Linked DNA regions of Pelodiscus sinensis. The protein of the gene in region 1 purifies or fractionates together with the protein of each later gene. This does not show direct contact. Links are inferred from orthologs where the notes say so. Each region holds a gene or a part of one and is shown in the gene's direction. Other genes may lie near its edges.

Evidence for each region. The genes of interacting proteins can lie anywhere in the genome.
Region 2: the proteins of CSNK2A2 (region 1) and WDR5 purify together in Homo sapiens (affinity purification with mass spectrometry; 3 studies listed by BioGRID and IntAct, with this or other methods). This does not show direct contact. The link is inferred for Pelodiscus sinensis from reciprocal best matches to the Homo sapiens genes CSNK2A2 and WDR5.
Region 3: the proteins of CSNK2A2 (region 1) and NIFK purify together in Homo sapiens (affinity purification with mass spectrometry; 3 studies listed by BioGRID and IntAct, with this or other methods). This does not show direct contact. The link is inferred for Pelodiscus sinensis from reciprocal best matches to the Homo sapiens genes CSNK2A2 and NIFK.

What each region holds. Positions count from the first base shown.
Region 1 is NC_134722.1:46,154,683-46,161,537, reverse strand, and holds the start of CSNK2A2 (casein kinase II subunit alpha'), read left to right. Parts: upstream 1-3,849; 5' UTR 3,850-3,956; coding exon 3,957-4,060; intron 4,061-4,731; coding exon 4,732-4,843; intron 4,844-6,855.
Region 2 is NC_134732.1:17,957,566-17,965,262, forward strand, and holds the start of WDR5 (WD repeat-containing protein 5), read left to right. Parts: upstream 1-4,689; 5' UTR 4,690-4,815; intron 4,816-7,697.
Region 3 is NC_134717.1:8,136,307-8,144,279, reverse strand, and holds the start of NIFK (MKI67 FHA domain-interacting nucleolar phosphoprotein), read left to right. Parts: upstream 1-4,965; 5' UTR 4,966-5,017; coding exon 5,018-5,128; intron 5,129-6,282; coding exon 6,283-6,411; intron 6,412-7,801; coding exon 7,802-7,910; intron 7,911-7,973. Other genes in the region: TSN (translin), read right to left, coding at 1,675-1,768, 1,941-2,006.

The sequences.
Region 1 (6,855 bases):
TCCCTTTGCTCCAGAAGAAGCAGGATGGATCGTGGTAGGGTGGTGTTACAATCTAGCCTTTAGGCAGCTGCCGTTCTGTTTACCTCACTGAATTTGAGCCCAGTCAGGTTCCCAGTGACAACCCTTAGGTACACTTGGTTGAAATGGCGTAACGGCAAAAACCGGCAGAGTGTCCACATCTCAAGGACATTTTTGTGCAAAACCCCCCCAGTAAATCGACGGGACAGAGGGCTTTTGCCGGTAGAGTTATTCCTCTCCCCACAAGGAATAACTCCTTTTTGCGCTACAGCTCTTGCACAAAAAAGCATGTGTGGATGCTCCGCAGGGGGGTTTGCGCAAAAAAAGCCTACAGGAAAAAGCACAGGTGCTCTGATGGCCATTCTGTGAATGGCCATCAGAGCTTTCTTGCGCAAGAGCATCCATGCAGTGTGGACTCTCTTGTGCAAAAGTGCATCGCTTTTACGATGTGCTTTTGAGGTGTGGGTGCGCTTTTGTGCTTACACACTATGGCTACGTCTACACTGGCCCCTTTTCCGGAAGGGGCATGTAAATTTCACTAGTCGTCGTAGGGAAATCCGCGGGGGATTTAAATATCCCCCGCGGCATTTAAATAAAAATGTCCGCCGCTTTTTTCCGGCTTTTAAAAAAGCCGGAAAAGAGCGTCTAGACTGGCCCCGATCCTCCGGAAAAAGTGCCCTTTTCCGGAGGGTCTTATTCCTACTTTGAAGTAGGAATAAGAGCCTCCGGAAAAGGGCACTTTTTCCGGAGGATCGGGGCCAGTCTAGACGCTCTTTTCCGGCTTTTTTAAAAGCCGGAAAAAAGCGGCGGACATTTTTATTTAAATGCCGCGGGGGATATTTAAATCCCCCGCGGATTTCCCTACGACGACTAGTGAAATTTACATGCCCCTTCCGGAAAAGGGGCCAGTGTAGACGTAGCCATTGTGTATTTTATTTGGATCTTATTTTGAAATAGCTTATTTGGTCATTTGGCGCAGTCTACATGGTGCCAGATTTCAAAATAACCTGCTATTCCGAAATGTCCCTTACGCCTCATGGAATGAGGTCTACAGAGACGTCGGAATAGTGAGCCCTAAATAACGGGCTTGCTGTTACGATATGAGATAGCTATTTCGGGATACTCCGGCATTCCAAAGTAGCGTTGCAATGTAGACGTAGCCAGAGTGTTTAGCTTGAAATGGTGGTGGGGCGGTGTAGAAGCACCAGTCAAGTTGGATGGAGATGGGCAAGTAGGTGATGGAGGGTGTGTGATGAAGGCTTTGGGGTGACTGAAGAACCGGGAAGGAGTACTTAAGTACTGAGATGGATTTTGGTGGTTGGATGGGGAGTTGCAGAGCTCTGGGCAGTTTTTCCTGTCAGCCGTGTGCTCGTGCGGCCACTCAGAACAGATCCAAATGCCACCTAACTGACTAGCAGAGCGTCCAGAGCTAGGTTTTGAGTTTCTACAGGTGGTGCACATTCACACATGTTTCGGGGCACATAACAATTGTTCCGCACATGGATGGAAAAGATTAGAGGGCATTGGCTCTGGGACCTTTGACTTGCAGGGAGTTCTAGAGATGTGTTGGATTTTCGGGTTTTGGAGCTGGCATGAAACGGAGGCTGAGTAGGACTCAGGTCTGGGGCAACAGACTAGGGGGATTAGGGGAAGAGGTGGGTAGTGACTAAAAACCAGCAGTGAAGACTGAGGCTGTAGGTCTTAGGCGAATTATGGGCAGTGACGTTTGTGGATTATAAGGGTCGTTGGGTAACAGGGGTGTGGGAGAGCTCTAGGGTTTTGAGGTAGAAGGGGAGATTGAAGGATTATTGCCACGTGGGCCTGAAGAAGGGTTTAGGTCTCTAGGGGTAGGGGAAAGCTGGGGGGCCAAAGGGGATTATGGGGCTATAGTTGTGCAGGGTATGGAGGTCTAGGTGTAGATGGGGAATTTGGGGGTTCATGGGGATTGAGGGGGTCATGCGGATTATGGGGGCAATAGGGCTGGGGTTAGAGGTCTCTAGGAGTAGGGGGAGGTTGGGGTCATGGGGATTATAGGGTTTTAGGGACAGGTGGAGCGACTGAGGATCCTGGGGATCTAAGGACCCCAGGGGTGGGGTTGTAGATTTTAAGGGTAGGTGGGTATAAAGGAGTGGGGTTATGGGGTTCTAGAGGTGGGTGGGGGTGGAGTCATGGAGGTAACAGGGGCTGGGCTGGAAGGTTGGCTGGAGGCCCTGGGGAGGAAGGTGGGATTATGGGGTTCCTGGATGGCTTGGGGCCCTGGGGAGAAAGGAGTGGGGTTATGGGGCTCGATGGGTGTGTGGGGGTCACGAGAGTAACAGGGCTCAAGGAGTGTGGTGGGGAGATCACGAAAGTAACAGGGCTCGGTCTGGGGGGATCACGGAGATTAAGGGGCTCGGTCTGGAGGGATCATGGGAGTAATGGTGCTTGGGGGTGCAGTGGGGGAATGGATGGGATTATGGGGCTCAGACTAGGGTGGTCATGGAGTAACGGGGCTTGGGCTGGGGGACTGCAGGGGTTATGGGGCTTGGGCTGGGGAGGTTATGGGGTCACTGGGCTCAGGGCTGTGGTGGGGAAGGGGTGGGGTTATGAAGCTCGAGGGGGCGGTGGGGAAGGCGTGTGGTTTTGGGGGGGTGATAGGGGAAGGCGTAGAGTTATGGGGGTGCGGTGGCAGAAGGGGCGGATGTACAGGGCTGGGGGGTGCGTGGGAGAAGAAGCAGGATTACAGGGCTGGGGGCAGATCTGTGGGGGAAGGTGCGAGGTCACGGGGGTTCAGTGGTGGAAGGGGTGGGATAATGGAGCCCGGGGGGGTACATGGGGGAAGGGGTGGAGTTATAGGGCTCTAGGGACGGGGGGGGGAAGGGCGGGGTTACGGGGCTCTGGGGCGGGGCTCGTGGGGTGCTGTGGGCGAAGGGGCGGGGTTACGGGGATTTAGGGGCGGGGCTCGGGGCGCTGTGGGCGAAGGGGCGGGGTTACGGGGCTCTAGGGGCGGGGCTCGGGGCGCTGTGGGCGAAGGGGCGGGGTTACGGGGCTCTAGGGGCGGGGCTCAGGGCACTGTGGGCGAAGGGGCGGGGTTATGGGGCTCTAGGGGCGGGGCTCGGGGCGCTGTGGGCGAAGGGGCGGGGTTACGGGGCTCTAGGGGCGGGGCTCGGGGCGCTGTGGGCAAAGGGGCGGGGTTACGGGGCTCTAGGGGCGGGGCTCGGGGGGTGCTGTGGGCGAAGGGGCGGGGTTACGGGGCTCTAGGGGCGGGGCTCGGGGGGTGCTGTGGGCGAAGGGGCGGGGTTACGGGGCTCTAGGGGCGGGGCTCGGGGCGCTGTGGGCGAAGGGGCGGGGTTACGGGGCTCTAGGGGCGGGGCTCGGGGCGCTGTGGGCGAAGGGGCGGGGTTACGGGGCTCTAGGGGCGGGGCTCGGGGCGCTGTGGGCGAAGGGGCGGGGTTACGGGGCTCTAGGGGCGGGGCTCGGGGCGCTGTGGGCGAAGGGGCGGGGTTACGGGGCTCTAGGGGCGGGGCTCGGGGCGCTGTGGGCGAAGGGGCGGGGTTACGGGGCTCTAGGGGCGGGGCCCGGCGGGAGCGGGGCTCGGGCTGCGCTGCGTCCCCCCGGCCGCAGGGGGCGCTGTGCCCCGCCCGCCCAGCCGGTCTCCCCGCGGGCGCTGCGCTCTTGCTGGCTGGGCCGCGGCCGCCGGACCGGCCCCTTTTCCGGGTTCGCTGCGCTGCGCTCGGGGCCGGCTCAGGCTGCCGCCGCCGGGGATCGGGCCTCGGGCAGAGACCGCGCGGGCCCCGCAGCCCGGCCCCCCGCCCCGCCCCCGCCGGGCCGGGACCGGCCCCCCCGCCCCGCCCCCGGCCGGCCTGGCTCTGCTGCCCCCCGCCGCCGCCCTCCTGCGCTCCGCGCCCCGCCTCGCCAGCCCCCTGCGCCGCCGCCTCCGGCCGCCGCCCGCCCCCGCCATGCCCGGCCCGGCCGCCGGCAGCAGGGCCCGGGTGTACGCCGAGGTGAACAGCCTGAGGAGCCGCGAGTACTGGGACTACGAGGCGCACGTCCCGAGCTGGGGGTAAAGCGGCCGCGCCACCGGGGGGAGGGGCGGGGGGGGGATGGTGAGTGAGGGGGCGGGGAGACCCCCCCGGCGCACCCCCCCAAATCCTGCCCGGCGACACCCCGCTGCTGCCCGGTGCCCCAGAGCTGGGGGGAGGGGCAGCCCCCCCGGCCAGACACCGGGGGGGAGGGGCAGGTGGCGGGGGTTCCCCCCGACCCGCTCTTCGGGCGGGGGATGCTCTGGCAGGGAGTGGGCCCCACGGCCATGCTGGTGCTGCCGCCTCGTGGCCCTGCCGAGCTGCCCGGGAAGCCCCCCCCCCCCCCCCCCCCCGCAAACAGCCTTGCCCTGGGTGGGGACCTCCCAGCTGCCCCTGTCTCTGCGCCTCTCTGAGATGGCCGTGAAAGCCTGAAGAGGGAGCAGGCTCGCTGCGGGTCACGGTGCCCCCTCTCCTCCCCTCTGCAGGGCTGCACCCTGCGCTGCTTGATCGAAGGCTTTCCCCAGCCAAGAGACAGGGACTGGTTTGGGGATGGGTTTGCACAGGGTAGCCCTGTGGAGCCTGCCCCCTCCGCGGAAAGCAGATCCTGTAATGCACAGCGCTGTCTCCACGGGCTTTGGATGCAAAGGGCTGGGCGGGCAGGGAGGAGAGAGAATTCCAGCCTGTCAGTTATTTTCCTTTTCCCTGTCCACAGTAATCAGGACGATTACCAACTGGTTCGGAAGCTCGGCCGGGGAAAATACAGTGAAGTCTTTGAGGCCATAAACATTACCAACAACGAGAGAGTGGTGGTGAAAATCCTCAAGGTGAGCGTCCAGTTGACGATCAGTAGCCCTCTTCATGATGGGAAAGGGGCATTTTACTAGGTTTGTTGAGGGGGATGGGGCAATTTTAGGTCTCGTTCAGTGTCTCCTAAACTGGGTTTCAGCCCTGCCCTCTCTGATGTTGGGGTGCTGGATTACATCTCCGGAAATACATTTTTGGCTCGTGTCCTGTAGTGATGCTGTGCTGGTCCTTTCTCTCTTCAAGTCCTGGGTCAAGGGGTGCTTGTCGGATTGAGACTGAGCGTGCTTTGGGACAGGAAAGCCATGTGTCTTGATATCTGAATGGTCTGGATGTGCTGTCTGCACTTAGTACATAATATCTGGCAATGTTTGTCTCCAATGGCTTGCAAACTGTCCTGTCAACAGTAATATGAACCCGTGCGGGGGAATCCTTCCATTAACCTTTACATGATTGGCTGTAACTGTGTCAGAGCCAGGCTGGTAAGTTTTTGGGAAAGCAAACTAAATCTTGGCCTTGGTACGTAAGAAAGTACAATGGAAGGCAAATTCCTCAGTATTTAAAATGAGTCATAGCCATGATTGAAAATCAAGGTAAAGGAGGTGGCTTGTTTTCCATTGCTCACTAGTTGGTGTGTTCTGATCGCAACCTCATGAGAGTGGCACATTAAGGACCCAAGTACAAAGGAAGCTATTAAAATCCGAATGCTTTGGGTCAGCCAAGTGCTCTGTCCTGCACAGTTTCTTGTTATCACTGCTGCCTGGGAGCACTGGAAGCAGCACACTCAGCCTGTGACAGGAGTGAGAACTCTGGTGTTTAGTCGCAGACTGTTCAGCTGATTGAGGAAGGGGCGAGAAAGAAAGGGTTGTTGAATGGTCACAAAGCCAAAGCATTCTGTTGGCTGGCAGCTGTGGTTCTTGTCCACCATCGTCATCTTGCTTTTCCCCCTATACTACAGAAGCCTGCTTCCAACCCTACAAATGCTCAGAACATGGACATGCATCAATCCTCACAGCTACAGTTGAGAGAGGGTGTACTTAGGAAATAACCCGTCAGCTGCCGTGGCGAGTTGCTAGCTGCCATGTACGCATGCCTGGCCCTTTTCAGCAGGGCAGCATGCATCTGTCAGACTGCGAATTGGCTACTCGGTCTGACAAAATCCCCCTTCGTGGACCAGGGTGCTCTGATTGCATGGCTGGCCAGCTAGCATTGGCGCTTCTCCTTGCCTTTCTCCTTCGGGACCAGGTTGTCTGTTCATCCTGGGCCTCTGATTGCTGTGCCCCATCTCCCCAGGTGGCTTGTTCTGCCATGGATCTCGTTTTGCTGAGCAGTAGTCACTGGGCAGGGCGTGACTTCTCAATTGCTTCTGAGAAGAGTTAGGAATATCAGCATCTTACCTGGGCTTCGGAATGAAGGTGGCAAAGTGATGTGCATCTTCGGTAAAATCCTCACCCCAAAGAGATGGCTGGTTGGGCTAGGGATGTGAAGGACTAGTGATGTGACCCCGGGTGGCACTGCCGCTTTGAAATGCCGTGAGGAGCCTGATGCCGGGCTCCCTGCGGCATTCAAAGCGGCAGCGCAGCGTGGACCTGGATCAGCTGGGGACTCCTTCACTGACCTGGGCTCCGTGTGGCACTGCTGCTGGGGTGTTCCCAGCTGACCCCGGGCTTTGGCCTTTGAAGGCGGAGGCACCCTGTTTGACTAGCGATGCAAAAATGCATTGACTACTCGATGAGTCAGTTACCCGATATTTAACATCCTTAGGTATTCCCAGGTAGAAGGGAGGCTTGCATGGTTTGTTGGCTTACTGTGTAGGCCCATGTCTCCTTTTGAACGCTGCTGCCGGGACCTAAGCACTTGTTTGTCTTGCACTCTGGGAGCCGAAGACTCAGCATTAAAGAGAGACTGTCAGCAGGTAGCCAAGAGCGTAACTATTATATGGAGAGCTGGCTCTTGGCTAAGCACAGGAAACCATCCACTTCTGTTTACCACTAGTCTAGGAAATCCGCCGTAGGGCTTTGGTGAACCTCAGGTG
Region 2 (7,697 bases), on another chromosome or scaffold:
GAACCTCCCTTCAGGAAGTTGAAGGCTGCTATCAAATCCCCCCTCACTCTTCTCTTCTGCAGACTAAACAAACCCAAATCCCTCAGTCTCTCCTCATAGGTCATGCACTCCAGCCCCTAATCATTTTGGTCACCTTCTGCTGGACCCTCTCCAATGCGTCCACATCCTTTCTATAGTGGGGGGCCCAGAACTGGACACAATATTCCAGATGTGGCCTCACCAGAGCCGAAAAAAGGAAAACAATCACTTCTGAGGCTGGGAAGACTGGGGCCATGGCCCTCTACCCCCCCGCCCCGGTGCTCTAGGGCTGGGGGAGGCTGAGGGCACACACCCTCTTTCTTGCTGGGACGTGGGGCCTGAGCAGAAGGGGTGGACCTGGGGGTGGGTCTGCGGGCTTGCCTCCACCAACTCTACCTTCACCCACGGCCTCTGTGTGTTTCATACCAGCTTCCATCATCTCCAAAGGTAAGGGTCTAGTTTCATGCACCTAAACAACCCCATTAAAGCCTTTGATACTTAAAACTGGGTATGTGCTTAACTGGAGCCTATTATGATTAAAAATCATTTTGCTTTATTTAAAAAGGTAAATTAAAACACTTTACCTAGCCTTAAGGGCAGGGAACATGCAGTGTTGTTGTGATGCTTAGTTACTGTTTGTTAAGCACTTTGAGATCTTTAGGCACTAGCAAAACAGTAATACAAATAAGAGAACTTTGGAAGTGGTAGGAGAAATCTCCAGCATGACAGAGTCATGAGAAATGGGGCACAGTACATGTACATTTTAATCTTCAACAAGAAAAGCAAATTACACTGTTCTGACCAAAGAATAATTAAGTATCAGCTTTTAAAACGGTGAATCCAGTCTATTTAAACAAACCAACCACCCTTAGGTTACAAAACAGAAAAGAACTTAACTGGCTGGGTCTCTTAATGCTGGGTTGTGCCGCTTTTCCAGCTCCGTTTATTATCTTCTACTTTGCCCCCTTATCCATATTTGCATTATAAGGTTTAATTCTTTAAATTCCTGCTCCAGATTTCCAAAGCAGGCAGTAAATTTTTCCTTGAATCCCCTCTCCACCAGACATTTTCCATTCCCCAACTGCCATTAGAATTTTTGGATCTCAAAGCTCTTTGTTAAAGGACCGGCATGTACACACTTTTCTTGGGTTTTTTTTTCCTCCATTAAACAAAAGCCGCTTGTCGCAATTTCTGTGTAGCCTTTGGCCTCGGTTCAGGAAAGCACTGATTTTTCCAGAAAGCAGCGGCGTAACTTTAAGCATGTTTTGAAGCGCTTTCCTAAATGTGGTCCTTTGAATGGATATTCTGAAACCTTGTCAAATTTTATGGAGCGTGCAAGGCACAGAACCGGGACAGATCTTATTTGATTAATCCAGCCCTTCCGTGTTGGAACCTTTTCATTGGCTCTCCTCTGCAAGATCAGAACAGAAGTTTTTATTATGCTTCCAGCAGCATCCCTTGGGTGCATATTGCTGCTTGTTTCAGAGCTTCTTTGAGGTGTTTTGCACAACCTAATCAAAGGGCAAAGCTCTCTTCTTAAAAAATTGGTATAGCTGCAGTTATTATTCACACTTATAGACAACTGAGATCCACTGCAGCAGCAAAGCAAGTATATCAAGCGGACACACAGACATCAGTCATCACTGGGGATTGAATCAGATACTTCCAGCTCCAAAAGCATAGGTCTCTAATCCCTTGAGCTCAAGAAGAGATCACATACCTTAGGTAATTACTGGAGGGAGCTATGGCGAGATACATTAAGCCACTGTATTACACAATCACTAGCACTGAAGCAAAAGACAAAGGCTACATCTAGACTGCAGGCTTCTTTCGGAAGAAGCTTTTCTGGAAGAGATCTTCTGGTGTTTAACCACCCTGACAGTTAGGAAGTTTTTTCTAATGTCCAACCTAAACCTCCCTTGCTGCAGTTTGAGCCCATTGCTTCTTGTTCTATCCTCAGAGGCCAAGAAGAACAATTTTTCTCCCTCCTCCTTGTGACACCCTTTTAGATACCTCAAAACCACTATCATGTCCCCTCTCAGTCTTCTCTTTTCCAAACTAAACAAGCCCATGTTCTCTAGACCTTTAATCATTAGTCATGTTCTCTAGACCTTTAATCACTCTTGTTGCTCTTCTCTGGATCTTCTACAATTTCTCCACATCTTTCTTGAAATGTGGTGCACAGAACTGGACACAATACTCCAACTGGACACAATATTCCCTTACTTCTGGGCTGCTTGTCTGTGCTGAATGGCTAGAGAGCAGCACGCCTGCAGCCCAGAAGAAAGGCTGTAATTTAGGGGGGAGAGGTCCCATCAAAAAAAGTTTTACTCTTAATTTAGCAGATTCCCTTACCCAGAGTGACTGACAAACCTCACATTAGCAGAGTACTATCCTGTATCCTATATGAACACGGCCATGACATTTGCTATTTATGCCATGACCCACCCACAAAAAATGTGCGATTTCTCCATGATTTAAGTAGACCACTCACAATAACGTATAACAGCGATCTGCTAACCTCAGTGGTTCAGGAGGCAAATTAGCCATCCACATTACGTAAAAGAGCCTCAGTTGTGTAAATGTATATATTATCCTCACAGCCAAATGACTGATCGAGTATTTTACAATTGGTGAATAACACAGTAAAAGCATCCTGATTAGCTAATTATGTAGATTGGTTAAATAATTAAATCACACAGTGTTTTAATATCATGTGCTGCAAGGAGCTGCAGGAGACACATTAAAGAGCAACACACAGCTCCTCTCTGAGTAGCTCTGATGTGAGAGACCTTGAGTCTTAGATACCTGAGTGAGTTTCTGAAGGCTGAGTAGGTGCTAAACTTGCAGTGGTCCCCAACGTGGTGCCCGGGGGCACCATGGCGCCCGCCGGGCCATTTCTCTGCGCCTGCTGAGTGAATGAGGCTGGCCCCACACCTGGGCGCATGGCGCATGGCCGGTGCCGGCTCCCTGGGCGGTCAACATATGGGCAACGTCGGCCCCAGGCACGCAACACATGGGCGGCCCCAGGAGCTTTTGGGTGGCCCTGCCCCTGGGTGCGCGGTGCAACGGCTGTACTGGCCCCAGGTGCGCGGCATATGGGCGGTGCCGGCCCCGGGCACACGGCGTTTGGGTGGCCCCGCCCCTGGGCGTGCAGCGCATGGGCTGTTTCGGCCCTGGCGCACGGCGTATGGGCAGCCCCACCCCTAGGCGCCTGGCACAGGAGCAGCGCTGGCCCCCGGGAGTGCAGCGAATGGGTGGTGCCAGCACCGGGCGTGCGCCATATGGGTGGCCCCGCCCCCAAGCACGTGCACGGCCTCGCCCCCAGGTGTGTGAGTAGCCCCGCCCCCAGGCGCCCGGCAGCCCCAAAAGGTTGGGGACCAATGTTAAAGAGTAGGGGTGAAAGGAAGCGCTAGGACTTACTGGTATGCCGGAGTCCTTACTGGTATGCAAGAGGTGATGGGTGGGTTTGAAACCGCACAAGGGGCAGGGCTAGAGCCTAGAGGACCACACTCCTCAGCCAGTCTTTCATGACCACCACTTCATCCGGGACCCCCAGGCCTTTCTAAACACTGGTCTCCAAGGCAGCTGCACCTTTTGCTGCAGGTCACTCTGCCAGACCCGACCAACAGGGCTGCTGACCAATGTTCCCTCTAACTCCGCGTTTCTCAAACTGTGGGTCCCGACTCCCCCCGGGGGGTCGCGAGCAACTTAGAGGGGGGGCACAGTATCACAGAGTTTGAGAATCCCTGCTCTAACCTTTTCTATCCACGTGTGGAATAAAATTTGTATGTGCACGCGGGTGTTTGCAGAGTTGCACCACTGATAGAAACACAAAACCTAGCAGTGGGTGCAGCATTTGAATTGCTCCTGAGCGGCTGCATAAGCACACAGCTTACAGGGAGCGCTGCCGCTGACGGGGGGAGCAAAAGCGGCAGCAATGTTAAAGCACTGCTGAAGCAGCACATTAAAAACGGTCCTTCCCTTGCTGCCGTGATGGCACTTTAACATCCGCCGCATATGGGCTGGTGCCGGTGTCTGCTTCTTACAGGTATACAGCTGGCACCAGCCCAGTGTCACCTGGGTAAGACACAATGATGCTGGGACGGGCCCTATATTTTAAGAAATGGGGGTTTAAAGCAGTGCTGCAGTGGGGGGGGGCTGGGTTTCCTAATACGAGCCGTGTGTGTGGGGATTGCTTGCAGAACTGGGCCCCATATGTAGTGGGTGTGTGTATCACGGGGCCCCATAAGTAGCTGTGTGTGTGTGTGTGTGTGTGTGTGAGAGAGAATCCCCCCCCCACACACACACCAACACTCCCCCCCCCCCACTTCTGGCAGAGGGGCACTGTTCACCCAGGCTGTCCAGTGCACATGAGGACACTGGGTCAGGCTGGGAAGGGGGGGGGGGGGGCTTGAGGGCTCCAGCCTGGGGAGCTGCAGCTTGCTCCAGCCTCAGCGACTTCCAGGGAAATTGCAACACGTGGGCCGCAGGGCCGTGACCTCTGCAGCAGCCCTGGCCGCGTGCATCCCCTGGGAGCCCCCACCCGGAACAGGCCTCTGGCCCTTTAAGGCCTGTGCCAGTCCGCCTCCGACGGATTCTGTCCCTTCCGCCTCGCCGTAGCATCCCCGGGAGAGAGCGGCATTGTGCGGCTCCCTCCCCTTCCGCCGTGAGCGCATGCGCCGCCCCGCAATTCCCCCCTCCCCGCCTGGCAGCTACGGAGCTGCCGCTGCTTCACCTCCTCCCCGGCCCTGCTCCGCGCCGAGGAGGAGGCGGCGCCCCTCCCCCCCCTCCCAGGTAAGTGACTGAGCGGGGCCCCCTCCCCCCCCCCCGCGCCGGGCACGCGCCGCCCCGCGGCCCCGCCCCGAGCTCTGCCTCCGCCAGGGAACGGCCCGCGTGGGGCCGCCCCTCCCCCGGCTCCCGTGTAATGGGGGGGTGCGTGGGGCCGCCCCTCCCCCGGCTCCCGTGTAATGGGGGGGGGCGTGGGGCCGCCCCTCCCCCGGCTCCCGTGTAATGGGGGGGGGCGTGGGGCCGCCCCTCCCCCGGCTCCCGTGTAATGGGGGGGGGCGTGGGGCCGCCCCTCCCCCGGCTCCCGTGTAATGGGGGGGGGCGTGGGGCCGCCCCTCCCCCGGCTCCCGTGTAATGGGGGGGGGTGCGTGGGGCCGCCCCTCCCCCGGCTCCCGTGTAATGGGGGGGGTGCGTGGGGCCGCCCCTCCCCCGGCTCCCGTGTAATGGGGGGGGTGCGTGGGGCCGCCCCTCCCCCGGCTCCCGTGTAATGGGGGGGGTGCGTGGGGCCGCCCCTCCCCCGGCTCCCGTGTAATGGGGGGGGGTGCGTGGGGCCGCCCCTCCCCCGGCTCCCGTGTAATGGGGGGGGGTGCGTGGGGCCGCCCCTCCCCCGGCTCCCGTGTAATGGGGGGGGGTGCGTGGGGCCGCCCCTCCCCCGGCTCCCGTGTAATGGGGGGGGGTGCGTGGGGCCGCCCCTCCCCCGGCTCCCGTGTAATGGGGGGGGTGCGTGGGGCCGCCCCTCCCCCGGCTCCCGTGTCCTTTCTTAGCTCCAGGGCGGGGGGAGGGAGCAGGGAGGATGCATGTCCTTGCTCTTGGGTGCATGGATCTGTCCCTTCCCTAGCTTCCACGTGGAGGGAGGGGTGTGCACCATTCCTGCCCCAGGGTGCATGGACCGGCCTCCTCCCAGCTCCTGTTGGGGGAGAGCTGTGCAGCCCTGGTGATGTATGGAAAAGCCGCTTCCTTAGCACCGGGAGTGGGGGTGGTGGTGCAGGCACCAGCTTCGGGGTGCAGGGTGAATGGATCTGACCTCCTTCCCTAGCACCCATGGGGTACATGGACATGCCCTTCCTTGGTGCCCATGACTGGCGTGTATGAACCTGCCCCCAGACTGCATGGGTCTGACCCCTTCTTAGCTCCCACGCAGGGGGATATGTACCAGCCCTAGTCCTGGGATGCATGGTCTCGCTCCGCCCTCTCTTGTTCCTAGGCCTGGCTGGGGGCATGCACCAGTCTGTGGCCAGGGTGTATGGATTTATTGTCCTCTCTAGCTCCCGTAATCTGTATCTTGCTTTGCATGCGCAGACCTTTCCCTTATTTGGTTAATAAGCTGCATAGCCTGTCTTGGGGGCATGCACTGGTTCAGGGTGGCTTGTGTGGCCAATGTTACTTGCATGCATAGATTCTAGCCCTTACTATTTATTACATGGAGGGTGTGTCTCATCCTAAAGGCCCAGGCTACTGTATGAGATTGGGGATTGAACTGGCACAAGTGCAGAAGTCAAGCTTGTTCTCCCTCCAGCCAGATGCAGCTTTAAGCATTAATGATTTGAGCTTGGTGTAAAAGCCTCTTCATGAGTTCAATCTTAGCCATATTGGCATCAGCCAATTGCCATTCTGGAAACCTGGACTGAATATTACTGTTTCTGCTGTTTGATGCAGAAAGCTGCCTCTTGTTCCTATCATGCATAACACAAACAGAGCTAAACACTGAACAGCTGACGTAGAGTTTCCAAAGCTCTCTTCCAAAATTTCCTAGCAGTGGCTCATCTCCACTGAAGAGAGCTCTAGTGTGGGAAAGACAGGGGCTATACTGTGCTGCACAGTCCCCCAAAGAAGACATGGCACTTAAAATCCTACCAGGCACCTGTGTTGTCACTCCAAATACAGCTACTACTAGCAGAACAAAACTGGTGGTAGCAACACTAATAATTTTTGTCTTAAGACAAGGCCTTACTGTAAGTGGTGGAGGTATTGCCTATTGTCAGGCTGAAATCTAGCAGGGCTGCGGTAGAGGTTTTTTACTCTGCAGTGTAGCACTGATTGAAGAATATTGGCACAGCAGTTTCGGGTTTTGTTTCGAGAAGGTGAGTCTATTGAGACTGCTACAGGCTGGCTCTTAATCAGGTGAAATATCTTCCATGTGTAAGGCAGGAACAAGTATGATTTGCTGCTCTCAAATGCAGTTAAGGAAACAGCCCTTGGTTGAAATAGATGAATTGGGAGGGCAGAAGAAGGGAATAGGATTTTGAGTTCTGGGTGTACCTGTTGCATTTTTCGCATGATCGTGGGTTTTGTATCGCATCTGTCTTTCCATTTGAAAGACATCCAGGACTATTACTTGCCTCAGTTCCAAGAAATGAAACTCTTATAGCTACGCTTCTGAACTTTTTACGTTTAATGGCATTTCAGGGAGTGTGGTGAGAAATAAACTGCCCACACTCTCACCAGATCCTCTCAGCTGTAATATGAGATTAGGCCAGAACAGGGGTTCTTGAACTGGTGTACGCTGTAGACCACATTGTCTCAGAGCATCACATGGACCACCTCCCTTGCCACTGGTTAACAATCCTGTGTGGCAACTACAGCAATTGTTTACTGCTCTGGAGAGCAAGAGGTGCTTATAGCTGTTTAAATCTGATTTGGCATTGGAGACTGGACAACTAGCAAAAAGCTCTGTAGTCTATTTTTATAAAACGGGGAGTTCAGAGGAATGTTGCAGATGGCACAGAGTGATAGGCATAAAACTTTGTCAATTCCATATTTATTTAACTCCCACCAGCAGCATTCAGGTTTCTTGGATTTTAGCTAGAATTGGAAAGTGATTTTTTTCCCCCCACTGATTATATGGGGACCTGGATTATGATTAGGGTGCATTGTTACGTTAATTGTCGTCT
Region 3 (7,973 bases), on another chromosome or scaffold:
GGAGATATTTAAATCCCCCACGGATTTCCCTATTCCCAAGTTCAAAATTAGCACGCCCCTTCCGAAGAAGGGGCCAGTGTAGACGTAGCCATGCTGATTGGCATTATTACACGTCTTTCTTTATTAACTGAGTTCCATATAGCTGTTCATTATTTTGCCCAGGAGTAATGTCAAGTGAACAGCCCTGTCATAATTGGTACAACTCCTAACCCACGAAACTTATGCATATGACAGCAAAGTTGTTTAACATAGAGCTGTCTTACATACTACAAGGAAGAGACACTGTTCTCTGCGAAGTTTGCAGATACATTCTGCGGGTGTGAGTCCCGCTGTCCCTACCTCTTCACGTGAGTTAAAAAGTGAAAGAATGCTGAGGTAATCCTTCCATCAATAAAGGCTGAAAACCAAAATGGATTATATTTATACAGCACAGCCGTTGCAATTCTTGTGCTTTATTCAACATCAGAAAGCCAGTAAAGGTTGAAAAGATTAGCCAATTGTTTTACTGTTCCTGGATTTAATATCAACAGACTTGCTGGATGGCTAGACACTACCTGCTTGCAAATGTCATATTAGAGATGTTAGGTATCAGTTAACTGAATAAGTAACTGCATTAATTCCTATTGGTTACTCAACTATTTTATAGGGGTGAGGCCAGCAGCCAGTGCGCTCAAACCCCACTCCAAGGTCCCCCCACTCACCTGATTCACACAGACACATTGCTGGTTATTCCCTTTGTTAGGGAGCAAGGGGAAAGTGCAGTTGCTGCATTCCTCACTCTCACTCTCCATCAGAAGCAGCAACACAGGGTGCCAGGCAGATGCCAGTCCACAAGGGGAACCAGTTTAAAACCAGCTCCCCACATAGATGGGCTACTTGTGCCCCACGTTGCTGCCTTTGATGGAGAGTGAAGAATGCAGAAAACTATGCACTTTCTCCTTGTTCCCTGACAAAGGGAACAGCCAGCAATGTTCCGGGTGGGGATCTTCAGTCCCCTACCCTCCTTTAAGGATGCTGGGGGAAAAAAGGAGTAGAGAGGTGGAATGCCCCCAGCCAGCCCATTTCACCTGCCTGGTGTGTTTCTTTTTTCTGTACAGTTTTATGAGACGCAATCCCATTTCGGGCACATTCCATTTTCCTGACACAATGGGGGAAAAAAAAAAAAAAAAAAGAACTTACCCTGGTTTAAGTTAGCTATTAACTGAATTTGGCGATCCTAGCTCTCACTGTGCAGGAGGAAAGTGATAGAAATGTAGCCGTGTTAGTCTGGGGTAGCTGAAGCAAAATGCAGGACAATGTAGCACTTTAAAGACTAACAAGATGGTTTATTAGCTGATGAGCTTTCGTGGGCCAGACCCACTTCCTCAGATCAAATAGTGGAAGAAAGTAGTCACAACCAGTTCTTGAATAAACAGACTGACACACAGACTCACTCTCTTATATAGTAGAGAAAAGACGTGAAAAGTCTTATGGAAAAAAATTCCTCAGGTTACAGTGGCCAGGTGGAGAGCATGGTCAAGGAGAGGGGATGTGCTTCACACAACCTTGTATGGGGGTCTGACAGCGTCCCTGCCCCTTTGCAGCCTTAGGGGGTGAGCACTTGGGGCGGATGCCGCCTTGCGGCTGTGACGACAGCGCCCGATCCGTTCACGCCCCCAGACACGAGCCACTTACTGTCCTGAAATCCAGCTCCCTGGTGCACCCCCTGCAGCAGCGTCAAGATCTCCCGCGCCGTCTGCTCCAGGGTCTGAACCACCTTCCTGATCTCCTGCAAGCCGACAACACGTCAGGACACGAGGGGGGGGAAGGGACTCCCCCCGCCCCCCCCTCCCGCGCGTGCCTCGGAGCCCCCCAAGCCCCACCGGCCCCGCCCCGCCCCCCGCGTGCCTCGGAGCCCCCCAAGCCCCACCGGCCCCGCCCCGCCCGCGCCGGGCCCTGACCTCTCGGATGTCCTGGTCGGCGGTGAGGACCCCCTGCAGGGTGATGAACATCTCACTGACCGACATGGTGCGCTGCCGGGCCGGGCACGCGGGGCGCCGCCGCCCAGGGGCTGGGCCGCTCGCGACGCCGCTTCCCAACCGCCGCTCGGGGACCTTCCAACGCTCTCGGCGCAAGCTCTATGGCCGCGCGCGCGCACGCTGAGGCGGCTCCGGGGCCCTTCCACCTGCCCGGCGCACGGTAGCCCCCACCTCGTGCCTGTTCCCGCGACATCACCTCGGAAACCTGCCGCACTCAGCGCTGCCGCTGCCGCTGCCACCCACCGCCGGGCTTCCCCATGCCGGGCCGGGACCCCTGCTTCGGAGCTGGGGCTTCCACGGTGCGAGCGCAAGGGTGCCCTACTCGCTGCCTGGGCCGCCGCGCAGGGGTCCTTCTACACTCCCGGCGCAGAGCTGCCTCATTCACTTCCTGGCGCGCACGCCGCGGGAAACAAACCTTGGCCGCAGGCCGCGGGGGGGAGGGGGGGGCGCGCTTGACTGTGCGCAGGCGCAGTCCCTACTCCAGGCGATGCCCGGGAAAGCGGGGCCAGAACGGCTGCTTGGGACGAGTAACCCCTCCCCCACACCTGCCTGTGGGCTGGCATCGCCCCCCCCCAGGGTCTGCCCCCCCCCCCCCGCAGAGGTCCCATCAGCTCCTGGGAGAGAGAGACACACACACACAGCCCGTGGGGTCTCTCCCCCCCATGCCACACACAGCTGCTCAGAGACTCTGTTTGGAGGGGCGTGTTTCTGAAATCCTCCCCCTCCCCCGTGTGAGGGTGGGGCAGACAGAAGCCACGGGGATGGCTGACAAGTCTAGTTTCAGTGGATTTCTCCTCACCTCCCACTGCTAGACTGGGGAGGGGCAGAAAGATCATAGGACCTTTCTTCTTTGCCCCCTACTCAGGGTTGGGAGGCCAGCAACTTCTGGGTACTCTCTCCAATGTGCGCAGAAGTCGGGGAGCAGCATAGGACCTACTCGTATATGCCACAACCCACATCATTTTTTTACAGAACAAATTATGATTTATGTTACTATAGTGCTGAAGAGTTCTAGGCATGGACTACCCACATGTACTAGGTGCGGTACAAACCACAGTTTATGCCGAAGGCCCTTAAGAACAAGCCAGGCAACTCATGGATGAGACAGAAGGTGGACTATAAGTAAATTGGATGAAACTGGTCAGCATGATTAGCACATCAGCATCTGACAGTTGTCCGTAGTTTTGTAGGCATCAGGCAAAGAAAAGTTTTATTGAAGAAATTTGGTTATGGGCCTCCTTCTGTCCCCATTTAAGTCTATATGGGTATGACCCAGATCTTAAGACATATTTTACTCCTGGGGGAATACTGCAGAGCTGCTGGCTGCCACTGCAGGTCCCTGGACTCTAGAGCCCAGCTCTCCACCTTTCATCCGGTGAGGAGGGAGGCTCTGCACTCTGGCTACCCAGCTTGATCCTCATCCACCCAGGGATGGTGTTACCCCAGACAGAGTTCTCAAAGCTCTTGGTAACTTTACTTTGTGTGAGTTGGTGTAAAAAAATATAAATCAGTGGAGACCCAGCCACCAGTCCAATAAAGGGCTGGCACAAACAGTATTATACAAACATGCTCTAAGTAAAAGCTATACTTCATTTAATCTCAAGCATTTTAGACATCTGCAACAAGTTAGCAAAATAGCCTCAGTAATTATTGAAATTTGGTGTGGTACAGTTGCAGCCATCCAACTAGTCCATCTTTAAGCTGTCCTTGAGGGCTCTAAACTGAGTCCATGAATTGATCCCAAAGAGACCAAACCTCTCCCTCTTTATTTCACTTTGTGAGTAAACAAATTACTATCAATTTAAAAACTTGTTAAGCAAGCAGTTTCAAAAGCTAAGCAAGAGGTTTCCTGAAATTACTAATTAGCCAGAGGTATTCCTGCAGGGTTTGCATGCCCTGAGATGCTGACAGTCACATCTCAGAAGGGAAATAGATAAGCTTCTTATTTGTCTCCTAAAATATAGACCCCATCATGTTCAACTGACACTTCATCAAGAAGAGACACAGAATCAGGCAAAGGTATGCTGAGCAAGATGTTTAGTCCTCCTGGCTTAAATCTTGCTAAGTCTGCACAGCCCTGCAAAACAAACAAACAAAAAAAAACCCAAGTTTGGTTGCTGTTAGCAACAAGTATGATATTATACTATTGGTAGCAGTCTCTGACCTTTTACTGGTCTTTCAAAATCTCCCCATACAATGGGATAGGCCTGGGGATAGAGGGCTTCATTGCATCCCTTAGCAGGACTGTAGAGCCGTGGGAATAAAGGCTCTGAAGGGAGGTTCACTAGAGCTGGGGGAGGAGAAGCAGGTACCTTGACCAGGAGAGGGAAGAACACAGCCACCTCCAGCCTCCCCCCAATTGGAAGTGGGTTGTCACCCAGAGTTTCACTCTCTGCTCTTGGAGGAAAGTTTGTTGCTGCCTCTAATGTGACATACTTGTTCGTAGGTATTTTGAACAAAATAATGTAAACTGGAGTATTATAGCATGTTATTGTGACCAAATCTGCACAATTTTAAAACGTGCCCAGGATTGTTCATTTGAGGGGGCAGCATTCTCCTGGGAGCAGGCACCAAACTGGCTTGAGGTGCTGGTCTCTGGGGGCTTCTCTTGTCCTGCTCTGGGGCCTCCTTTGCAGACACTAGTTCCCTGGCACCCTGGCTCTCCAGGGAACAGCCCTCCCAGGGGCTTGCCTGGCTCCTGCCCAGCTCCATTCATGCCCCGGGTCCCGCACTTCCTCTCGGACCGCACCGAAACCAGGCCCCCGGGGAGGGGGACCCGGCTGTCTGGCCTGTGGCGGGGGGGGGGGGGGGGAGCGGCAGTGGCAGCTGTCCCAGCAGGCAAGCTCTGTCCGCCAGAGGTCGCTGTGGCCCTACGTCTGGGCCTGGCCGCTGAGCGGGCGGAAGCTGGCTGGGGGGAGAAGACACTTCCCGTGGCAGGGACCCGGAAGCGGAAGTGACGGGACCGCGCTCCCGGCGTGGGGGTAGGGTGAGCGCGCGGCATGGCGGCAGCGGGGTCCTCGGCCGCGCTCCCGCTCCTCTCTCTGGACCCGCAGCAGCAGCGCGAGTTCCAGGACAAGGTGCTGCGCGTCCGCGCCGGCCGGGCCGCCAAGGTGAGAGCCCGGGTCCCGCCTGCGGGGGGGCGGGGCTGCCGGCCGCGGAGCGCCCCCAACACGCGCGGGCCCCGATGGGCTCGTGGTGGGACTGAGAGACTCGCGCCCCGGGGGGGGGCCGCTCCCAGCTCGGAGGAAGGGCTTGGCGCGCGCCAGGGGGTCTTGGAGAGGACTCCGACCGGGAGGGGAGGGGAGCGGGGGGTGCTGGGTCCGGGACAAGGCTGTGACACGGGGCAGGAGTGCGGGGCTTTGGATTGGCATCTGGGGAAGGGGGTCGGGTTGCAGCGTCTGCCATAGGGATATAAAAGGTTAACTGGTTACCAGGGAAACATTAGCCTTCCCAGCATGCTTCCCTGATAACTGTAGGGCCGGGCCTGCCTGGAGCAAGTCCTCCCCTTCCTGAGCACAGCAGGGCTCACTGAAGCAAGCCTCCCTGCCTGCAGGACCCCAGGACTCCATGGTTAACTGGTTAAACATATTGTTTAACCAGTTAACTTTTTCATGGGTGTAGGAATGGGTGTGCAGGGGGTTTGAGTTATAACCTGGGGCATGGGCGCGGAAAGGGGAGCATTGGGTTGGGGTGCCACATGCAGGCTCTGGCCAGGAAGTGCTTACCTAAGCACAGCAAGTCCCTCAGGCAGGCTCCCTGCCTTCTACTCCCTTATATGCCGCTCGAAGTTGCTGGTCATGGGGGGCCATGTGCTTCTCTGACAGCCATGGGGAGGGGGGATATTTAACATGCTGCCTGCACTGTGGACATGGCTTATGCACTTCCCATTGGGTGGTTTATAGCCAATAGGAGCTGTGAGATTGTGCTGTGGGCAGAAGCAGCATGCAAAGCCTGTTCCCCTTCACCACCCCTCTCCCAGCTCCTGGCACTCAGAAGCACATGCCCCCTGCGACCAGCTGCTTTGAGTGGCATGTAGAGGTGGGGCAGGCAGGGAGCCTTCCCGTGGCTCCTACTGGACTGCAGGCAGGTTCCAGTGGCTTGGTGGATCAGATGCAGCCCACAGGCTGTAATTTGTCCACCCTTGAACTAGAAGTTACTGTACTGATTCCAAATTGGTGGTCTTTTGGCTCTTTGTGTTTAAGGTGGTAAATGCGCGTGAATATTCCTGTTTTTTTAATGTTACCCATTCTTTTCATATTCACAGCATGAGAAGCTGACTCCTGGTGTAATTTATTTAGGGCACATCCCTAGGGGCCTTTTTGAGCCACAACTCCAGGAGTACTTCAGCCAGTTTGGAACAGTCACCAGACTTCGAATTTCAAGAAGTAAAAAGGTAAGAATCTTAACTGATTGGAATTGTCTGGCTTCCTAATTGCAGTTATTGCTGACTTTTGCCTCCTCCCCTATTCTCCTATTTACTTACTTTCCCAATTAGAAGTAACTATTGGCCAGAGGTTATTGGTATACTGGTGGTCTCAGTTTTATTTTTTTATTACACTTTCCCTAAACTTAGTTCACGGGCCTGTTATTCCACATTGAGATGTAGGAAATAGTGGTCAAACTGAACTATGTTTTCTCCTAAATTCTTTTTGTCTCTCTATTGGTATGGATAACACCACCGTCGTCATAATTTTTGAGTCTCTGACCCTTGGATTAATCATTGGGACACCCTCTCAGTCCTTAATCTCACTCCTCCCCACATTGCTAGGGTGTTACCAAGTTCTGCAACTTGCACAACATTTCTAAAATCCAATTATTTGCTATCTCAAAGGCTAAAACACTTTTCTGTGTCTCTTTCTCCAATACTGATTGCTGCAACCTTCTCTCTGGCCTTCTTTGCCTTCAGTCCATCCAAAACCTGGTCTTTAAAGATCAGCTGCAATTTATACCAGGGTAAGAGAGAGCCTGAAAGAGTCCTGCTCTTGTGTTCCAATCATCTATTCTGGAAATGATGATAGACTCTCAGAACACACACAATTGTTTGCTCTACAGGAATTCAGGATCCTCACCCCAATTCCAAATCCTAAAGCCATTAATTGGTTTCACAAACTTTACCATCTGAGAAGCAGACTTTTACTTGGATGTTTATAATAAATGTCTTGTTCTAGAGGCTGATAAAACTTTGGTCGTAGTCTTTAAAACCTTTCAGTTACTGGTTTGAATCCAGATCTGGTAGTTAAGATAACTGTTTTTTGAAGTCCATAATTGACTTATAAGTAACAAGTTATTAGTTTTGTCCATTTTGTAGTGTAGAAATATCACTTAGGGTGGAATCCCTGTTGACAGTATCAAAAGAGGGAAAAATAACTGGCCATTTTATGCTATGGCAAAAGGTGCTTATTCCAGAAAAGGATTGAGACAAATAGGTGCTGTGAGGAAATTTCCCCTACTTCTGTAGATAAACAGAGGCCCCACTCTACTACTCTTAATCTAGTCCCTTTCATCAGAACTAAACATACATAAATGAGAAATTTTATCAGAGTAGTCTAAATCCAGTGTAGAATTCTGAATGAATATAACAGGAGGGACAGTGCATTTTGTGTGTCACAGACTAAGTCTGCCCTAAGACATACATGTGTAATGCTTACCTAGTTTACTGTGAATTGTATATTATAATCTGAGAACAGAATATGACCCTTGCAGCCTGAAAAAACAATCTAGTGTAATTCTTAGACATTATGTGTAAACATAATCTAGATTTCTGATACCATTGTCATTCGCAGACTGGAAACAGCAAAGGCTATGGATTTGTAGAGTTTGAATCAGATGAAGTCGCTAAGATTGTAGCAGATACCATGAACAACTACCTATTCTGTGAAAGACTCCTAAAGTGTGAGTATATGGGACACTGGTGAGCTAGGGAAATATGGACATGTGAACGTATTGTTTCCTGGG